Regions from separate parts of the Mus musculus genome. Here all the other regions are reported to be linked to region 3. The links are microRNA targets in miRTarBase. Many come from high-throughput screens and were not tested one by one. Region 3 holds a microRNA gene; each other region holds the end of a gene's coding sequence.

Region 1 (5,064 bases), not on the chromosome of region 3:
AGCTGGAGGTACAGGCACTTGTGAACCCTGGCATTGGTGCCAGAGCTGGACTTCAAGAGTAGTACACGCTAAGAAGCCCTGAGACTTTGTTGGTGGTGTTTGTGACAAGGTCTATCTAATACGTCCCAGGCTGGCCTTCAGTTCTCTTTGTATCTGAGTCTGAATATAGACATGTTTGACCATGCCCAGTTCTAAATGAATTCATGTCATAGTGAAATTTTAACTACAAGATTCAGAGGTCCAAATCACTTAACTAAATAAATTAAAATTCATAGTAAACCAGAAACATAAAGAGGTGAATTAATATGATACGTTCCCAAATTTCCTGTAATTGTGTGAATGTGTGGTATTGGGGAGTAGAACCTAGGCCCCTTTCATATGCTAGGCAAGTACTGTACCACCTGGTAAAAGCCTTAACTGCCCCAGCCATTTTGTTTGACTTTTTTGCCAACTTTCATGAACTCACTATTGCCATTCCTCAAGCTACCCAAGTAGCAAGGATTATGTAGGCTTATGCCAGTATGTCCAGTATTTTATATAGGTCATATAGTAATTTCTTTTACACTTTTTAATTCATGTGTTAATTGTTTATTTACTTAATTTCAGGTTTGTTTGTGACAGAGTCTTATTGTGTACCCCAAGCAGGTGTTCCTCTGAATCCTCTTGGCTCTGGCCTCTTACTTGCTGGGATTTTAGAAGTATGCTACAATGCTCCAGCTACATTTAATTTAAGTTTATTTAATTTAGAGACAGGGCTTGTCCTGGAGCTCACTATGTAGACCAGACTGGCCTCAAACTCTGAGATCTGCCTGCCTCTGTGCAGTCACTTCTGGCCTTTGTTCTCTTTTAACGGGATGTTGGTGGATGGACTTAAGCTGGTGCTTCTGAGTTTTGCATTGAAAGTGTGCTTTCCCTTACAGCCTGCTGATCTTAAGAAGAGAATAGAATCCCTCATTGACCGGGACTACATGGAAAGAGATAAAGAAAATCCAAATCAGTACAACTATATTGCATAGAATGTTGGCCTTGGAACTTGTCATAATGCTGTAGCCATTGGATAAACTAATTTGTTGAATCTCATGTTATTTGACTTCTTTTATACTTCTGATGACCAAATGAAGCAGTGTAATGGGAATAGTTGTGTGGACTTTTCTCAGTGGTTAACATACCCATTTTAAAGAGTAATACTTAACTTTTAAGAAGAATGTTGTTGAATTCTATGCATGTTATTTAGTATGATGTGCAGAAAACTCTTTAAGAAAGTACCTGGGTCTTCATGATTCCTTTTGGAACTGGGGAAGAGATCCCTATGGCCATTAAAAGGGGGGAGGGTGATTCTTATACATCATTAATAAAGCAAAAGGTTTATTTGCCTAAAAGTCATTTAAAGATACTTAAACTGCATGCAAATTTTATTTACTGTACAGAGTTCTGGATGTATTTATCAAATAGAAAAACCACCCTTGACTTGGTTGTTTACCCATTTTGTGGTTTCCCTTGAAAAGAAAAGTAAGTTTTCATTGTTGTTGGCATTCTGTTACACTGAAGGGGAAATAATCTTATTTGGAAACAAGTTTTTCAAGTAGGGTGACAGTTCCTTCCATCGTACCTTATATATTCGCATCCTAAAGGTTTCCCATTAGGACTCTGGGATGTGTACATAAGACTTAGCCCCACATTCACTGTGCTGATTAACAGGAACTTATTAAAATAGAAAATTTGCTGATCGTCTTGTACTACAAGAACATAGCAAGAGGGGAAAACCCAGGTCCTTTTATTAAAACTGAATACAGTATGAAAATCACAGGAGACCAAAATCAACAAATAAGTTTTATAAGTTGCAGGAGTAAAAATGTACCAGCTGCTTTTCATTATGTTTCAGTGGTTAAATGTTTGGGTCGTGCTGCCGTCTTTAAGTTGGGTGGATCGTCAATTGTCAGAGGTTTCCTAGGATTTGCATTCCAGTTTTTTCTACTAAATGATTTTTTTTTTTACTGTCATGCGCCTCCTGATTTGGAGAAACTCAACATATGATTCTCCCTTGTCTTCCTTGCACACTCCCTATTGAAAACTTCAAGTTCTGTAGTCCTTTTTTTTTTAATTGCTTGAATTTAAGAGTTCTTTATAGACATTGGACACTTGCTGTTCAGGAAGTGTCTCCAAATTGGTCTCACACAGAAAGTAAGGAAAGTATTGTTTTTCAATTTCAAACTGTGAGTAAAAGACTTTTCTTCCTCACCAGAGGACTCTGCTTTGCTTCCTGGTTTCTCTTTCCATGGAGGAAATGGATGATGGCAAAGAAGCAGACTGTTTTTGTGTTTTCTTTTACATTAGAACTTCTTCAGTGCTTTCTCCACTAGCACATATCTTTGTCTTTATGGAGCAATTAGGCATACTTTCAGCTCCGAAGACTTGGGGGCTCTTATGTCTGCTATTGTTTTCTTGAATTCTCAAAGACCTGTGGCTAGCTATCTGTATTTTTTAAGTTGCCTGTTTCTCTCTAATGCATCAACTTGCACACTGTTTGACTATGTACAGTATTTAGAGTTAACTTCCCGGTTCTTTCTGAGCAGCTATTTCGTATATTTTTTCCAGCTCCTCCCTGATTTCCTTACAGGAGCTCTTCTGACAAGGAATGTGGCTGTTATGTTTACTGGATCATCAACATCAGTGTTGTAATTCATCCCTGTGTTGGTCTCTGGGATATGGAGACTATTACACCACTCACTAGTTACTCTTAAAAGAATTTGTAGGTAGGTTTGTTCCTACTAGGACGCTCTTGATACCACCTTCATTATCTTGAAAGTGGGTGCCTGTCCTGAAGTTCTTAATTCTTTAAAAACTTGACGGTGTTTCAGCTGAAAAGCTAGCCAGACTACTAAGGGAAACTGTTTATGAAACTGACAAGTAATGGCAAACTCCATTGGATTATTATGAGTTTCAGTTGTTCTGTATCGGTTGAATTTTTGTGCTCTTCCCTGTGTATGTGTGGTGGTTCTATTTTTCTCCAATAAAACTTTTATTTTAAAAAAATGTTTCTGGGGAAGATATTTAAACTCGAAATATTGTGAAAAAATTGTAAATTAGAATGAATACATAAAATCTTCCTAATGACTTCCTTAATTCACATTTGACAATTCATACTTGATTATTTTTATACTTCTCTTTGTTATTTTACTGGTAGTTTTGAGATACTGTGGAGGAGGTTATGGTAAAAAGACAGTAAATTTTCCAGTATTCTCAAAGTAGACAATTATTTCCACTTTAGAAAAATCAAGGGCACGTGTAAATATGTTTCCTTCAAACTTTCAAAGTCAGCAATTTCCTGCCAGTATAGAAGTACTTTAGAGTGAAGTTGGAAGAAAAAGAAGACATGCTTCTTGTGGTGCTTGTTGTTCTGTTCTGAACCAAAAATCCAGTCACACATGTTCAATGGTTTCTAATTCAGTTCCTGAGTCTGCTGAATGGTGACTCTGCCGTAACCTTGACATCTTTGCTACCGTGTGTGTCTGTCTGTGTGTTTGTACAGGGGAGGAAACCAGTTTATTCTATGTAGCCATCAGTATCTAAGATTTATAAGTTTATGTTCTGATATCCATAAATCTTTTATGTCTTTGCAACTGAGTCTTGCTGTGTAGCCCAAGCAGTCCATAAATAATGTGATCTTCCTGACTTGGGCTCTAAGTGCTGTCTACTTACACTGTTTGACTGTACACAGTATTTAGAGTTAACTTCCCAGTTCTTTCTGAGCAGCTATTTCATATAATTTTTCCAGATTATAGCTGTGTACCACCATGTCTTGTCTCACACATTTTTTTGTTTTTTTTTTATTCATTTATTTAGTGTAAGTACACTGTAGCTGTCTTCAGACACACCAGAAGAGAGTATCCGATCTCATTACAGATGGTTGTGAGCCACTACCATATGGTTGCTGGGAATTGAACTCAGGACCTTTGGAAGAGCAGTCAGTGCTCTTAACCACTGAGCCATCTCTCCAGCCTCTAAGCACATCTTTCATTGTATGATTTTTGTCTGTTTTAATGACCACCCTGTATAATTTTACACATGACAAAAAGATACATACTTCATTTTTTCATTCACATAAAATTGCTAAAATAAATAGCTTATAAAGAAGAAAGACCCAAGGATACTGGGACTTTATATAGCTGCACTTTTTTTTTGATATTTTCTTTATTTACATTTCAAATGTTTTCCCCTTGCTGGGTCCCCCCTCCAGAACCCCTATCCATAAGTGCACTTTAAAAGTGTCCTTTTCTAATGCTTCACTAAAGATTTTTTTTTTACATTTTATTTTATGAGTACACTGCAGCTGTCTTCAGACAAACTGCAAAAGGGCATTGGATCCCATTACAGATGCCTGTGAGCTACCATGTGGTTGCTAGGGATTGAACTCAGGACCTCTGGGAGAGCAGTTTTAACCACTGAGCTAGCTCTCCAGCCTGGATTTTTTTTTTTTTTTTGGGTCAGTTGCTTACAAAGATTTTGCTTTAGGTCAAGCAAGAATTGGTGGCTCATGCCACTAATCCCAGTCCTTGGAAGGCAGAGGAAGGTGGATGGACTTGTCAGTTCCAGGCCAGCCAGGGCTGCATAATGAGGCCCTATCGGAGAAACAGCAATAAAGCCCAAAAGCCCTGTTTCACATTGGCATAGTGATCTGGTTCAAATCATACACTTGTTCAATTATTTTTTCTTCTGCTATTCAAGTGTTCTTCTGAACGGATACATTATATACTTTTATAGTTAATATTTAAGAGTATTGTCTAGCATAGTAAAAGACCCAATTCATTTTATAAAACCTTATTTGCTATAGAATATAAGAATGTATACTATTGGACACATTAGAACTTTGCAATTTTTACAAGCTACAAAATCATCTTTTCACTCTCTAATTCCTATAACATCTTTCCATTTTTAATTTTCTATTGTGGTAATACACATAAGAATGTACCGTTCGAAGCATGTAATATCCAGTTGAGACATTCAGTGTGTTCACAGTGCTGTGCAGTTATTTGTAGTTTTAGAACATTTCCAGCACCTATTATT
Region 2 (5,064 bases), not on the chromosome of region 3:
TATCTTTACCCTATTTAACTCAGGCTTCTCCCAACATCTCCTGGACACACACCCCTTACTTTTTTTGCAACAGGGTTTTTTTTGTTGTTGTTGTTTTTGTTTTTGTTTTTGTTTTTTTGAGACAGGGTTTCTCTGTATAGCCCTGGCTGTCCTGGAGCTCACTTTGTAGACCAGGCTGGCCTCGAACTCAGAAATCCACCTGCCTCTGCCTCCCGAGTGCTGGAATTAAAGGCGTGCGCCACCACGCCCGGCTGCAACAGGGTTTTATGCATCCAAGTTTGCCTCAAATTCACTCCCTACCTGGGCTTGCCACTAATTCCAGATACCTCTGCCTCCACCTCTGCCCCCTCACGTGAATATCTGTGCGCCACTTGCAAGCATTCAGAGGCCATCAAGCTTCAAGGCCGTGGAGCGAGAGTTAGAACCAGCTGTGAGCTGCTAAGAGGGTGCTGAGAACTGAACCTGGGTCTTCTGCAAGACAGTGAATGCTCTTGTCTTGAGACAGGGTTTCTCTGCATAGCCCTGGCTGTCCTGGAGCTCTCTTTGTAGATCAGGCTGGCCTCAAACTCACAAGAGATCCACCTGCCTTTGCTTCCTGAATGTTGGGATTAAATGTGTGCTACCGCTGCCTGGCCCAGCAAATGTTCTTTAGCACTAAGCAACCCTCCAAGCAAGCATACGAACCCCATTTATAAAATGGTTTGAAGATCTGACTTTACAGAATCTTTTCTATCTTGGGGTGTTAAACCCCCTCCTACAAATGTTTCCAGACAGTCCCCTAAAATCTGCTCCAATAATGGAGTCTGGCTGAACCTCCACTCCCTCAAAACACCTGCCACCAGGTGCTTATCTCTATAATAAAAGTTAAGGCCAACTGTCAAGTTAGAACACCAGCCAGGTAACTCCCTTCCCAGGAGCCCCACCCTTGCTCGGAGGCTCAGAAGGATGGGTACAGGTTTACTCCCTGAGATTCATAGTGGAAAATCAGGCCTTTAAAAGCCATGGCCCACCCATTCAGCAAGCTAGCCTGTTGCAGTACACAGAAATGATTGTAGGCTACAGCTGTCAGTCAAACATGTAAAATGTTTTAGAACAACCTAGTTTATGCTTTCTTAAAAGATTTATGTCTATGAGTATGTGTCCATCTCTGCAGACACACCAGAAGAGAGCATCAGATCCCATTACAGGATGGTTGTGAGCCGCCATATGGTTGCTGGAAATTGAACTTGGGACCTCTAGAACATCTAGCTCTCTTTTGCTCCTGCCCTGCAGTAAAGTCTTAACTGCTAGCCATCTCTCCGGCCCTGTAATCTCTACTCTTAAAGATACACCTAGCAGTTCCAAGGTCTGGCTTTGCCAGTAAGTACTAGGCTCAAATAACCAGCAAGGGAGCCCAGCCTGTCAGAAACACAAGTGGACATTGTGACAGTCAACCTGAACCTTCCTGTCCATCCACCCCAGAAAGTTTCCTGTCACCTTGTTTGTGTGGCAGTCTGTTGTAGCTATGTGGACTCTCCCTTTGCAGCTTGCATCACTGAACACTAGCCATTATTGATCTCAAGGTAGAAACCTACCTTGGTATTGGGGGTGGGAACACATGATGGGATGGGATGACAGTGAAGGTGACAAGGGAACAGAAAAGACTGGCTGCAGGGGAAAAAAAAAAAAAGCCGGGCATGGTGGCACACGCCTTTAATCCCAGCACTGGGGAGGCAGAGGCAGGCGGATTTCTGAGTTCGAGGCCAGCCTGGTCTACAAAGTGAGTTCCAGGACAGCTGCAGGGGTTCAAAGTCAGGGCCTCCTACATCTGCCCCGGTGCTAAGACAGTGTTAAATGTTAGTCTGATCCTACACAAAGGATCAGAGGTAGAAAAGCCCATCCTGGACAGCTATGGAGGTGCACAGCCCTGTACTACAGTGGGCAGCTATGGTGGGGCACAGCCCTGTACTACAGTGGGCAGCTATGGTGGGGCACAGCCCTGTACTACAGTGGGCAGCTATGGTGGTACACAGCCCTGTACTACAGTGGGCAGCTATGGTGGTACAGAGCCCTGTACTACAGTGGGCAGCTATGGTGGTGCACAGCCCTGTACTAGTGGGCAGCTATGGTGGGGCACAGCCCTGTACTACAGTGGGCAGCTATGGTGGGGCACAGCCCTGTACTACAGTGGGCAGCTATGGTGGTACACAGCCCTGTACTACAGTGGGCAGCTATGGTGGGGCACAGCCCTGTACTACAGTGGGCAGCTATGGTGGGGCACAGCCCTGTACTACAGTGGGCAGCTATGGTGGTACACAGCCCTGTACTACAGTGGGCAGCTATGGTGGTACAGAGCCCTGTACTACAGTGGGCAGCTATGGTGGGGCACAGCCCTGTACTACAGTAGGCAGCTATGGTGGGGCACAGCCCTGTACTACAGTGGGCAGCTATGGTGGTACAGAGCCCTGTACTACAGTGGGCAGCTATGGTGGTACAGAGCCCTGTACTACAGTGGGCAGCTATGGTGGTGCACAGCCCTGTACTAGTGGGCAGCTATGGTGGGGCACAGCCCTGTACTACAGTGGGCAGCTATGGTGGGGCACAGCCCTGTACTACAGTGGGCAGCTATGGTGGGGCACAGCCCTGTACTACAGTGGGCAGCTATGGTGGTACACAGCCCTGTACTACAGTGGGCAGCTATGGTGGGGCACAGCCCTGTACTACAGTGGGCAGCTATGGTGGTGCACAGCCCTGTACTAGTGGGCAGCTATGGTGGGGCACAGCCCTGTACTACAGTGGGCAGCTATGGTGGGGCACAGCCCTGTACTACAGTGGGCAGCTATGGTGGGGCACAGCCCTGTACTAGTGGGCAGCTATGGTGGAGCACAGCCCAGTACTACAGCTGTGCAATGTTGACATTAACTCAAACCAAGAGCTACAATCTGTCTCAAACACAGCAGAAGGCATTGGATCCCATTACAGATGGCTATGAGCAACAATGTGGTTGCTGGGGATTGAACTCAGGACCTCTGGAAGAGCAATCGGTGCTCTTAACCACTGATCCATCTCTCCCGACAATCTGTCTCAAAAGAAAAAAATCTACCCTGCATTTTTGAAGAAAATTCCACTTCCCCTTGGACTTTCATTACACTGCACTTCTGCACTTTTTGTTTTGTTTTTGGGTTTTTTTTGTTTTTTTTTTTTTTTGGTTTTTCGAGACAGGGTTTCTCTGTATAGCCCTGGCTGTCCTGGAACTCAGAAATCCGCCTGCCTCTGCCTCCCGAGTGCTGGGATTAAAGGCGTGCGCCACCACGCCCGGCTTTTTGTTTTTTAGCAATTTTAACTTATTTACCCAGACATGTGTCTTTATGAGCGTATGCTACATATGCGGGCGCGGGTGCTACAGGAGGGAGGAGGATTGCACCTGGGCCTCCTGCTGATTGCAAGCAGAAGTGAGCCACCTGACGAGGTGCTGGGACTTGAACTCAGAGTCGCTGGATGAGAATCCCAGGACTCTTAACCACTGAGCCATCTTTCCAGCAACTCCACTGGCGTGCAGGGAACTGTCGGAAACCCTCAGTGGGTTCCACCTCTACATAAACTGGGCATGGTGGTGCATATCTACTACACAGCACTTGAAGGTGGAGTCCAAGGGCAGCTTCAGCTACACAGCGCGCACACATTCACTCTCTCACTCCCCCCGCACCCCCCAAAAAAGAGAAAGACAAAACACGGTGCTTCAAAAGGTGGGTATTGTTTACTTTAAGCAACAGTCCAGGACTAAGGAGTACAAGTGTCAAGGGTGAGACTTTCTCCATGGTCAGGCATCAGCATCATGCACATGGCACTTCTTCCGTCAAGGAGGTCCCTGTGGGAGCTGCGCCCACAGTCCCACTCTGGGACGGACGGCCTTCCTGTGTGCTTCACCTTGCAATTCCAGGGAGCTTGCTTGTGTACCTGAAGCCATCCTCTGCGCTGGGTGGCTCTGCCCCGCAGCTGGCCAGCCACAGTGGCCAATGGCATCTTCAGGGTACAGAAGGCAGCTTGTCTGCTCTGCAGGCAGCAGGATGTGAGGTACAGCTGTTTGATCACTCCACATGGCACAGGAAGGTGCACTTAGCAAAGGGCACCGATGGTGGGGCAAGTGCAAGGCAAGCTGAGTGGTGCCCACCCTGTGGAGCTGGGAGCAGGGTAGTGCCTGAGGCTGCTGTCGGTCCCATCACATGAAGCCAAGGACATCGTCAAAAACCCTGGTACATAAGAGTCTCTACACATCAGGAACCAGATCATCTGTTCTTAGAAACAGTCTACTACTCCAGTCTACTACTAGAAAACACTCATGCCATGGCGCACAGACCCAGGAGTCAGACAGACAGAAGGAAAGGAAGAGAGGAAGCAGGGAAAGACAGCGGTACATAAAGTGCTTCTCCTTTAATGAAACCAATCCGAGAGATGTACAGTCAGCTCACGCTGTGCAGTTCCCAAGCATGGGACAACAAACAGACAGACAGAAGGACAGAGTTCCAACACAAGAAGCTAACCCAAGACCAGGCTGGACTTGCCGCCAGGGGGGTTTCTCCTGGATGGCACTGGGGCTGGAGCCACTGGGCTGGGCACAGGAGCAGCGGGCACTGGCTTCTCCTCCATCTGCGCCAGGTTGGCTTGGAAGTCTGTGTCCACATTTTCTAAGAAAACAGTTTCAAAATAGTTCAAACAAGTGGAAAAAAAATATCAACAGTCACCAACTGAGGTAATTGTACCCAGAAATGGAACCTGTCAGTGTGTTACCTCCTCAGTTGTGTATGTATGTGGTTTTCAAAAGCCCAAGATTCCATTATCCAAAAAACAGGATCAGACGGATAACACCTGTTTTTGTTTGGTTTTAGTTTTTTTGAGGCAGGGTTTCACTGCGTAGCCATGGATGTCTCAGAAGTCACTCTGCCCCAGACTCTTAGAGACTGGCCTGCTTCTGCCTCTGTGCGGAATTAACAGTGCCACCCTGTGCTGTTTTTCTTTTTGAGTCAGGATCTCACTATGTGTGTAGCCTGAGCTGTCCTGGAACTCACTCTATGATGCACATCTTTA
Region 3 (5,072 bases):
GCTATTCAGGCAGGGGTAGGATTGAGCCCCCCGAGTCCACCCAGAGGACTTTGGCAGGGTCTGGGGCGGCCAGGGTGGCTTCAAGGGATCGGAGGGCTCTGACCACTGCAGATGCGGCGCGTGTGGGTGCGGTGAAAGCACCCACTTCTCCCAGGATCTAAACGGATAAACGGAAGCGAGTGTAAGTGTGGGGGTGCGAATCGCCACCTCCGGCCTTGGCTTTCCCGTTCGTGAGAGCACCCCCACTTCTCACTTTCCCCAAATCCGCATTTTTCTTGGCACAACCCTCCCGAACACCGAGCGAGGAGAGGGAGGTGCCCGGGGGCAGTGAGAGTGACGTGTGCTGGTGCAGAGGGGGGGGGGGGGGGCTGCGGGCCGGGCTCTGTGGACCTACTCCTAATCCTCTTGTTTTCGGAACTGTCAGCAGATGTGGCTTCTCTTAGCTGAATAATCCGTTAAAGGAATAATAATTTTTAAAAAGGACCTCGGCCTCACCCAACGAGGACAGTGAAGGAGATCAGCTCTTGGTAAGACTAAAAGAAAAGGCACTAAATTCTCTGCGTCCCTCTCTCTGTCTTCCTCTCAATCCCCTCACCCCCTCCCCCTCTCTTCTCTCCTCACCCCCCCCCCTTTCTCCCCCATCCCCTGCAATCCGCACTCGACGCGAGTTCACGCGCAGGGCTGGATTTCCAAGCTGCACTGCAACTTCTCAGCGCGTTATTATTATTCATCTGAGGGTGCAGCCTCTGCAACCTTCGCCTCCTGCGCTAGCATCCTTCCCCCTCGACCGCGGCCACCAGCAGAGCGGTTTCTTCTGCACGCGTGCTCTGGTTCACCAGAGGAGGATTCTGGCTTTTTGCTTTTTTGTTTTGGTGGTTTGGTTCGGTTTGGGGTTTTTTTTTTTTTTTTTTTTTTTTTTTTTTTGGTTTTGTGTCTTAATTCTTTCAGGGTCATCGCCAGGATGCTTTTCCTCCGGCCAGGTGGAGCCAGCATCAGCGCCTGCCAGCAGCAATTCCCTTCAATAGCCGAGGAAGCACTTGGGGCTTGGCCAGGGAGGCCGCTCCTTGCTTGCGGGGCTGACTTTAGCCTCCACTACTCTCCCGCATCCATCTGCGTGTATATTATCCCCATCCCTTTTTATTCCAATAGATCCGCCTTTGGTTTGGACTGGCTGAAACGCGGCGGACTGCAACCAGGATCCTTTAAAGGAGAACAAAAAGATGAGGATATTGTGCGGGGGTTCCGGGACAAAGCGTCTTGGGACGCGCGGAACTCTGGCTCCCCGATTGGAGAGATCAACGCTGCCCAACAGTACCCGGCCGGACCTGCGGACCTCTGAGGTTATTCGGACTCAATTTTATTGATTTTTGTGGCATGCTTTAAAAGGGTCAGTGTTAGGTAAAGACTGTGTCCCCCAACCCTGTGGGGTGGGTGGGAAGCTGAACGGAACCGATCCAGTTAGATTTAACTTGTCCTCTATGCCCTCTACCTGGCTTTTTTGAGCCATTGGGAAGGAGAATGGGGAAGGCTTAGAAAAGAGAAAGGGGGGGGGGGGACGACTGCCTGAAAGGATAAGGCACTAGTAGGGAGTGGGATGGACCAGGTGAGGGAGGTCTGTGGGTTAGGAAGCACCTTCCTCACTCTGGTGCACTGGGTGGGTTTGTTCAGGGAATGGCAACGTGGGTGTCTGTTGAAAGCAGTCTTGTGAAATTGACATGTACATGCATAAGGTGACTGGACTTGTGTGTAAACAGAGTGATGGAGAGCAGAGAGGGAGGGGTCTTAAAATAATATTTTATTGTCCCTATGGATTTGGGGATCTCTCCCCCACCCCACCCAGCTACATTCTATAGGGGTGACCTTTTAAAATCTACACCCACCCTTTACCTCTGTAAAACCGGTTGACGGGTGGGGTGGGGGAACATGTAGGGGTGCGCGCTCTCTCTCTCTCTCTTTTCCCCCTCCCCCCTCCCAGTCTCCCTCCTCCCTCTGTCTCCCCCTCCCTCTCCCTTCACTCCTCCCTCTCTCGCTCTCCCTTCGCTCCCCCTCCTTCTCTGTCCCTCCCTGCTGCATTTTGCATGAGCTATCTAGGTCATTAGCATTTTAGCGTATGCAAGACTTGACAAGGCTGATGAGGGGCCAGATGGGCCTCGCTCTTATTTATTTATTTTTTTTTTCTTTTCCTTTTTCCCATCCACCACTTGGGACCTAAGCGAGAGGACCGCAGCAGGAGAGTTCCGGAAGGCTGATTCCCACAGATCCTGGTAAGGGACCGCAGCAGCTCTGCCCTGCGGCACGCCCGGCCAGGCTACACCCGGACCCTACACTCAAGGTAAAGGCGGCGGTCACAAGCCCTGCCCAGGCAGCAGTAGCTGGGCCCCTGCTTCCCATCCCTTTCCTCTCCGTCATCTCCCTCCTCCTGGCCCCCCTCAGTTTCCTAGGCGAAGCTGAGAGCGAACTGGGTGGGTAGGATTCGCTGCGGTGGGGCGAGGTGGGGTTGATGTTTTTTCATTGTCTGGAACTGCAGGGGAGGCGAAGCGCGAGGAGAGGAGTGAGGGAGTCGGGGTAATTAACACGGGGGAGGCACCCCTCCGTCTCCCACTTCCACCCACATCCCGAACCCTCCACCCCCCTCCCCTTTGCAGGAAAAAGCTTGGAAACGAAAGGATGCGGGAGAACAAAGAGCCTACGGAGGACGTGGCTGTTATCTCATTGTCTGTGACTGGGGGAGCTGCGGTAGGAAGGATGCGGTGGTCCTTAGCTCATCGCGTTCCCCAACCCCACACCCTCCCTGCTGTCAGTGCGCACGCACACGCACGCGTCGCCAGCTTTTTCTTTCTCATCTCTCATTTTTTTCATCTCATCTTCTCCCCATCCCCTCCCTTTCTTTCCACCTTTCCTTCCTTTCTTCCTCCCTTCCTTTCTCCCATCCTCCCTCTCTTCCATCCTTCCTTCCTTTCCATCCTTCCTTCTTTCTTTCCTTCCTTCCTTCTTTCTTTCCTTCCTTCCTTCTTCCTTCCTCAGGAGAAAGGCCTCTCTCTCCGTGTTCACAGCGGACCTTGATTTAAATGTCCATACAATTAAGGCACGCGGTGAATGCCAAGAATGGGGCTGTCTGAGCACCTTGGGTCCACGAGGGCCTGCCACGGAAGGATCGACCCAGCACAACGCCCTGGGCAGATCTCAGCGCTGCAGCTGCAGGCGCCCACAGTACGGGTAGCAGGCTTCTGAGTGCCTCGCAAAGTAGCCCTTAGGGTGGGGAGGTGTGCAGCTACCGACAGAGAGGGGTTTGTGCAGATGCAAATAGAATCTAGGAAGCAAACAACTCATTCTGTGACAGAAACACGGATCTATGCAAGCGGGGGGGTGGTGGTGGTGGTGGCGGCGGCGGCGGCGGCGGCAGAAAATAGCCTGGGGACGGCTGGAGAGTAAAATGTGCCCCTCAGCTCTGGGACCCTGCCCATTGTAGAAGGCCGACACCTTCATCCCTACCTGTCTTAGTTCCGGATTTCAATTTATTACCCTTAAACAAATAATAATAACCAAGTACCCATGCGACTGGCAGACTGCCCCAAAGCCTAGACTGCAGCTACCTTGTATTGTGCTTGGGGTTGCTGGGGTAGTCTTTAGGGGAAGCTGTTTGTCACCCGTTGGTGGAGAGCTGTGGGCATTTGACAAGCTTAAACAGATCTCTGGAGTGAGCGAAGGCGATCGGCAAATTTGTTCATGGACAGCGCACAGACTCCATCAAAACTGACAGCTAGCCCACTGCTCTAAAGCAGGGCCTCCCAGCCTCCTTGGGGCTGTGGCTGAAGTTTCAGGCAGAAATCCAGAAGCTACAGGAAAAGGAGGCGCAGCCCACCCCCAGCCCCCAGAGTGTGGGCCTCTCCCCATCGCTCTTAAAACCCCAAGACAGAAGGAAAATCAGCATGAGTAAGGTGGAGGCCTAAGGAAAGTCTGTTTTGAAGCAGGCTGTCCAGGAACAGAAAGGGTTAATCCTCCCTCATCCTGAAGCACCTGCTTCCCAAATCAGCCCCCAACAGCAGCAGCTGGTCCTGGAGGCCCCCGACACAGTTCCATCCCGTCTCCATCTCAGTGTTCCGCCAACCTGCAGTGGATGGATGATGGCCTGGTGGCCGACCTAAACTCATTAATTTTCAGGTGGAGTAAATGGAGGAGGGGCAGGACCCAGCAGCAGAGGGAGGGAAAGGAGGCCAAGAGCTGGCCTCCTCCCCCCCCCCACAACCCACCCCCAGGAAGCAGGCTGTAGCCCTCCCCCCTGCTGTCATGCCAGAGGCCTGCCTTTGCAAGGCCAAGCCCATGAAGGATGTTTAGGAGTTTAATCTGATTCCTAACACAGTAATCAGGGTCTAAAAGAGCATCCGTTGAAGTTAATGGAGGACTCTTGTCTCAAAAAGCCTCAGCCTCATCTAGTCTAGTAAATTAGTATTTGAGGGTATATCATAGATCAGTACCTCTCTGGCCTAGTTTCCTCAAGAGTATTCATTATTTCTTGAGTATCTACTATGTGTCCTTCTTTACGATGATTTCAACTTCTAAATTTCCTCACAGAAGAGAATGTTAGAGCTAGCCAGGCTGAGCTTCAATTTACCACATTCCACCTAGGCATTCCCAGAACCTTCTCCCGCTCTGCAGAAATAAGCCACCGCCTGCTTACTCTTGCAGGCAGAAAGCTGCAGTGCCCACACCCTGAGGGTGTCTCTGGCTGAGTCCTACCGGACAAGCCAGACTGCTTTCAAGGCAGAAAGGGAAAGACCCAGCCACAATGGCTGTCCTAAGAGACGCCATAGCCATTGCTTCGAGAAAATCTACCTCCCTTGAAATAAAAATTGGCCCTTTCCTGGGGTGCTCCCTCACTTCACAAATGGGTTAGAAGAGAACGGCTAGTGTGCTGTACCATTTTGGGGGTACACCCATTTGCCCCCCCCCCCCCGTGCTCATTGAGATGTTATTTTGCCTTCAAGCAATGGCCTAAGCAGATGATGGCCCAACCCCCCTGGACCACAAATATCCCCATTAGCAATCCTCTACTCAGTAATTGCTTCCCCATG
Region 4 (5,064 bases), not on the chromosome of region 3:
GCTGGAGAAGCTCATGGTACGCATAGGGGTCTTCTCCCTCCTCTACACTGTGCCGGCCACCTGTGTGATTGCCTGCTATTTTTATGAACGCCTCAACATGGACTACTGGAAGATGCTGGCCACCCAGCACAAGTGTAAGATGAACAATCAGACCAAGACACCTGACTGCCTGATGACCACCTCCATCCCTGCCGTGGAGGTCTTCATGGTCAAAGTGTCCATGCTGCTGGTGGTGGGCATCACCAGTGGGGTGTGGGTCTGGACTTCCAAGACCCTGCAGTCCTGGCAACACGTATGCAGCCGGGGGCTAAAGAGAAAAAGCCGGAGGAAACCAGCCAGTGTGGTCACCAGTGCAGGGATCTACAAAAAAGCCCAGCACCCCCAAAAACCTCACCTTGGGAAGTATGAACTGCCCGCCCAGCCTTCAGCCTGCGTGTGAAGGCAGAGCTGGCTGCAAGAACAGGACATTCGGAGCCCAAATGGGCAGCTTTTCTTGGTTGGCTGGTTGTTGGTAAATCAAAGTAAAAAGAATATGTATATATATATACATGTATGTGTATGCATGTGCATATATATGCATATATTTACACATACATGAAGTCTACCTTGAGGTTCAGAACAGCTGAATGTAAAGGGTTCTGTTCAGTTTGTTGCCTCCCTGAAGGGTCGCTCATTAAGGAGGGAGCCTCTTGTGTAACTAATTTGTGGTAAAGTAGTTGATTCAACCGCCCTCCAGAAAACTTTTGTTTAGGCCTCAAGCACACAGCTGTGTATTCAGAAGGCTTTGCTGCCTGTGCATAAACTTGAGGCTGGAGAGCTCCTTTGTAAGCTAAAGAGCTTTCCTGGGGGGGGGGGGGGGCAGCCAGTGAGCCACCCAAGGGCCTGCTCTCCCTCCCTCACTCCCCCAGCTAGGCTGCTGTATGGGTGGGAGGGAAGGTGAGGAGGAGAGGGGATAAAAGAGGTGACACCCCCCCCAGCCCAAGGTCTGCCTGCAGATCCCTTAAAAGAGAGTCACTTCCCCAGCCTTCATAGCCATGTTTCTCCCAACACAGAGCCCACGCTACCCTCTCACCCCACTGCAGATCTAACACTGGAGAATTCAAATGGTGTGCAATACTTTTTTTTTTTTTTTTTTACATTTTCCCCCTCTCCCTAGCAAAACAAATGAGAGAGAGAAAAAGTATTTTGTTGTAAATAAAAGGCAAGAAAAGAAATCATCTAACAAAAGAATTTAGAGGCTCAAGCCTCAGGGTTGGGGGTTGGGGGGGCGCCTTCAGCCTGATACATTTTGTGGCTTTTTAATGGAAACCAAGCCAGTGTGTTCTACACACTGGGACTGATTTGTGGAGAGGAAGGGGGAGGGGGGGAAGCCAGTGGAGAGCACCAGAGGGCTTATTGACTCTCTGAATTGTTAAACAAATGATTTCCATGAGTGGTCTTGAAGCACTTGGGAAGACAAACTTTGTCTCCAGCCAGGGAGGGCCATGCCTGCCTCTGTATATCTGTAATATAGGATATTTTTCATGCTCCACTATTTTATTAAAAATAAAAGACATTCTTTAGTTTGCTGCTAGTCACTGTGCATTGGTGAGGGGAGCGTTCTCCATTTCTTAGCAGATTCTTGGGTGTGCGAGGCTGGCTAGACATGGACCATGAACCTGGATACAAGCTGGCAAAATAAAACATCCTGGGGCTCAGAGGCCTGTGTGCTGGCTGTGGGAAAAGGTGGCGGTGACTCTGCCCCCAAGGCTCCATGGATACACAGAATGCCGAGACCACACTCACCCAGGATGCAGCAGTCTTTACCTGACCTACTGTGTGCACCAGTCTGAGTGGACCACTCTACTGCAGCTCTGGGGCCATGGGATACATTTCAGAGCTGGATAGGTGAAAGTGGGACTAAGTGTGTGGTGGGGGGAGGGTCATCAGCAACAAATTCAGAAGCTTGGCCACCTTGAAGTTTCTGGTACCCTTTCTTCTCATCACTAAGACAAGCTATAGGCCCTGGAGCAGACCCAGGATCCACTAGGCTTGACTAAGCTAAAGTTCTAGCTAGAAGGACCCAAGGACACAGTTCAGCTCTGAGAAATTGGGGGGGAGGGGTCAGTGTAGACCTACCCAACTCTGACCTTCATAGCTCAGAAGCACTTTAAACTATTTGAGCCCTTCTGAAGCAGAGATACCAGCTTGATCGTGGCTTTCTGAAGCAAGTATTGGGGAAGTTTCACAGGGCCATGGGTCCTTGAGCAGGAAGGACAGGTGAATTGGGTAGTCTGGGGAACAAGTTCTAGAAATCAATGCTGGGCAGCCGGGCCATCGGTGAGCATAAAACCCAGAACCCAGAATCATGGAAATAAACCTCTATATTGACTATTGTTGTCCTTACCACCAGAAGAGACACTAAGAGTGAGTGTGTGTGTGTGTGTGTGTGTGTGTGTGTGTGTGTGTGTGTGTGTGAGAGAGAGAGAGAGAGAGAGAGAGAGGATCACTGGAGTGGCAACTGGCCAGACCTAGGCTCATCTGCCCCCCTGAGCTGTAGTGGTTAGTTGTATAGGTTTTGAAAGTTCATACAGAGCAATGCCTCAGCCAAGAACATGATAAGGCCTTGTTCAGCTGTGAGCCTGCTTGACGGTGGCCCCATCCCCAACAGTGACAGGGATCCTGTTTACAAATATCAAGAGACTAACAAGTGGCCAGAAGTGTGCTTTTAACATGTGCTCCTTGGGCCATAGTGAGAACAGCCTGAGCTTCTAAGGTATTTGTTTCCTGCACCTTCTCTTGTTTCATCCGTCTCTCTACCTGCATCAGTCTGTCTCTTGCAGTTGAACTCTAGTTCTAAACCAGATGGTAGATTTAAAGAAAAACATCAAAGCTTAAAAGTTAGAAAGCTTACACCCAGACACACAGACACACAAACACACCACTTATCTTTGGACACCCCCCCACCCCCCCACCCAATCCCCTCCCCCTCAGCTCTGTCCAGACCTCGAAAGGGAACTGCTGTTTCCTTAATTTGGAGACTGTAGGCTTCACTCCAGGACCACAGCCATGCTGATGGAGAGACAGGAGGATTTCTGAGTTCGAGGCCAGCCTGGTCTACAAAGTGACTTCCAGGACAGCCAGGGCTATACAGAGAAACCCTGTCTCAAAAAACAAAACAAAACGAAACAAAACAAACAAACAAAAAACCCCAAGAAAATCAAAACAAAACAAAAAAAAAAAACCCCAACCAACCAAACAAACAAAAAAAGGCCCGGAAAAGGTGAATGTCAAGGTCTCAAAGCACTCAGTTCTTGATCTCCTACCACCAGCTGTTGCTCACATGTTAAGAGAGCCCGACTTAGGGAAACCATAGCCTCATAGAGGAGACAGCGGCTCACGTCTCCTGAGTTCCAAATATTGGGGAGATATCCTGAGCCAGGGGTCCCCCCTGTGGTTGGGAGACCCAGCACAAGTGCCTGCAAGAAAAGTGAAGCTGCTGGGGTCATGCGAAGGGCAAAGGTAGGAAAGAGAACACCCCTTTGAGAAAGTGATAGGCAGGGTCTAGCTGGTGCCCCTTATATACCCCACACCAAGCACAGTGTCTTGTCCAGTCAGTACACAACACAGGGAAAGAATGGGGAGAACAGCTGTGGCCACAGCCCAGGCAGATATGAGAGCCTCTCTGGACCAGTGGTTCAGGAAGTGATCTTTTCAGTAGATGGCGTCGGGGGTGGGGAGATCCAAGAAGCACCAGGTGTCTGTATGTCCAGCCCTCTGACGAGGAAATTCAAGGTTCAAAGGGCTCCGGAGTCCAGCCTAAGGTCTCAGCTTATTTTTTGAACTCAGGGTCTCTCACTAAACTAGTCACCCTGGCTAGACTGGCCAGTAAACTCTGGCAATCCTGTTTCTGCCTCCTCTCTAGCACTGGGATCATGAATACACTGTTACACTCCAGTGTTGACAGGGAACTAGGGGTTCAAATTCAAGGTTCCTTTGATAATTCCTAGACTAAGCCAGGATATGAGATGAGCACTAAGCCCAGAACAGTCCAGTGCCACAATGGAGAAACCAGGCCTACTTATACATCCATTGCCCCTCCCCTCGGAGAGTCAAACATGCCTCGCTAATGGTCTCCAAAGAGAATGAGCTTTTGAGCTTTCCTTACGGGAACACTTTCCGACGCCAGGCACAGGATTCCAGAGAATACCCTCTGATCTTGCAAGTGTAAAAGGCGGCGCAGTGGCTTCGCCCCGGTGAGGGAGACCCTAGCTCTGTGTCTTTGAACACCCTCACATCACAGTCACCTCCCAGGGACAAGGGCTCTGTGCTGACTCCTCCCCCAAGCAAACGGATGGCCCAGCAGCAACAGCTGGAAGATGAGAAACGCAGACAGGCTGCAGGGGAGCCCCGGGATGACACGGGGCTGGGGGTTTTCATGTTTTATTAAGAGTGCGGAAGGCCAAGCTGGGGGGAGGAGGGACTGAGGCGTTTGAAATCCAAAAAGAATGAGTTGCTATCAGGTAGGTGAGCTGTTGTAATTGGGGACACCCCTAGGAAAATGACACGGTTGGAGCGCTGGCAGGTCCTCGGCAGCCTGTGGGAACCTTCGGAAGGCATCGTATCTTGCCTTTTATTAGAAGACATTTTTAATTAAAAAATGGGGATTCCCAGCCTCTCCTCCAGGGGCTTTAGTGTCAATGAAAGGATTCAAAGCCATTCTTTGCCTGGCACCTGCCTCCGTCTAGAAGGTCGTGGCTTCTGGGGGCCTTGGAGGGAGAGTTCTCAACCTGAGCACTAGACTATATCTTAAAGGCTATTCTTACCTGTTTTAAGGACCTGTAAAAGCAGGGTGATGCATGCCGGAAATTCTAGCGTTTGTGAAGTTGAGGTAGGTCAGTTGCCAGCTCAAAGTCAGCCTGGGCTACATAGGGAGAGCCTTACTCAAAACAAGGAAAACACCCTCTCATGGTATCCCGAGAACCTCTGCATTTGCCCCATCCCTACCCTCAGAGTCCCAAACACACACACTGTTAGCTATGTGCACCATCCTCCACTGGCAACCTGCCTGCCCAGCCACCCTTA

The links. Region 3 holds the annotated microRNA mmu-miR-124-3p (UAAGGCACGCGGUGAAUGCC, at 3,082-3,101, shown strand). A microRNA usually pairs through its seed, bases 2 to 8, with sites in the 3' UTR of a target mRNA and lowers its output. Matches are read on the target gene's strand: a 7mer-m8 pairs with bases 2 to 8, a 7mer-A1 pairs with bases 2 to 7 and ends in A, and an 8mer does both.
Region 1: miRTarBase lists Cul4b as a target of mmu-miR-124-3p. The part of its 3' UTR that is shown has no 7-base or 8-base seed match.
Region 2: miRTarBase lists Jpt1 as a target of mmu-miR-124-3p. The part of its 3' UTR that is shown has no 7-base or 8-base seed match.
Region 4: miRTarBase lists Fzd10 as a target of mmu-miR-124-3p. The part of its 3' UTR that is shown has no 7-base or 8-base seed match.

The regions. Positions count from the first base shown.
Region 1 is chrX:38,529,585-38,534,648 of GRCm38, reverse strand. Cul4b (cullin 4B) reads left to right here. Exons shown (of 23, transcript NM_028288.5): 23 at 921-3,033. The coding sequence ends at 1,016. Among named protein-coding and RNA genes, the nearest start is that of Cul4b, 44 kb to the left of the region's middle.
Region 2 is chr11:115,493,636-115,498,699 of GRCm38, forward strand. It overlaps Jpt1 (Jupiter microtubule associated homolog 1), which reads right to left. Exons shown (of 5, transcript NM_008258.2): 5 at 3,710-4,664. The coding sequence ends at 4,516. Among named protein-coding and RNA genes, the nearest start is that of Nt5c, 4.4 kb to the left of the region's middle.
Region 3 is chr14:64,587,628-64,592,699 of GRCm38, forward strand. Mir124a-1 (microRNA 124a-1) reads left to right here and starts at 3,030; the gene lies at 3,030-3,114. Mir124a-1hg (Mir124-1 host gene (non-protein coding)) reads left to right here and starts at 488. Exons shown (of 4, transcript NR_040709.1): 1 at 488-527; 2 at 1,150-1,340; 3 at 2,214-2,332; 4 at 2,646-5,072. Mir3078 (microRNA 3078) reads left to right here and starts at 3,558; the gene lies at 3,558-3,644.
Region 4 is chr5:128,602,528-128,607,591 of GRCm38, forward strand. Fzd10 (frizzled class receptor 10) reads left to right here. Exons shown (of 1, transcript NM_175284.3): 1 at 1-1,566. The coding sequence ends at 439. Among named protein-coding and RNA genes, the nearest start is that of Fzd10, 4.0 kb to the left of the region's middle.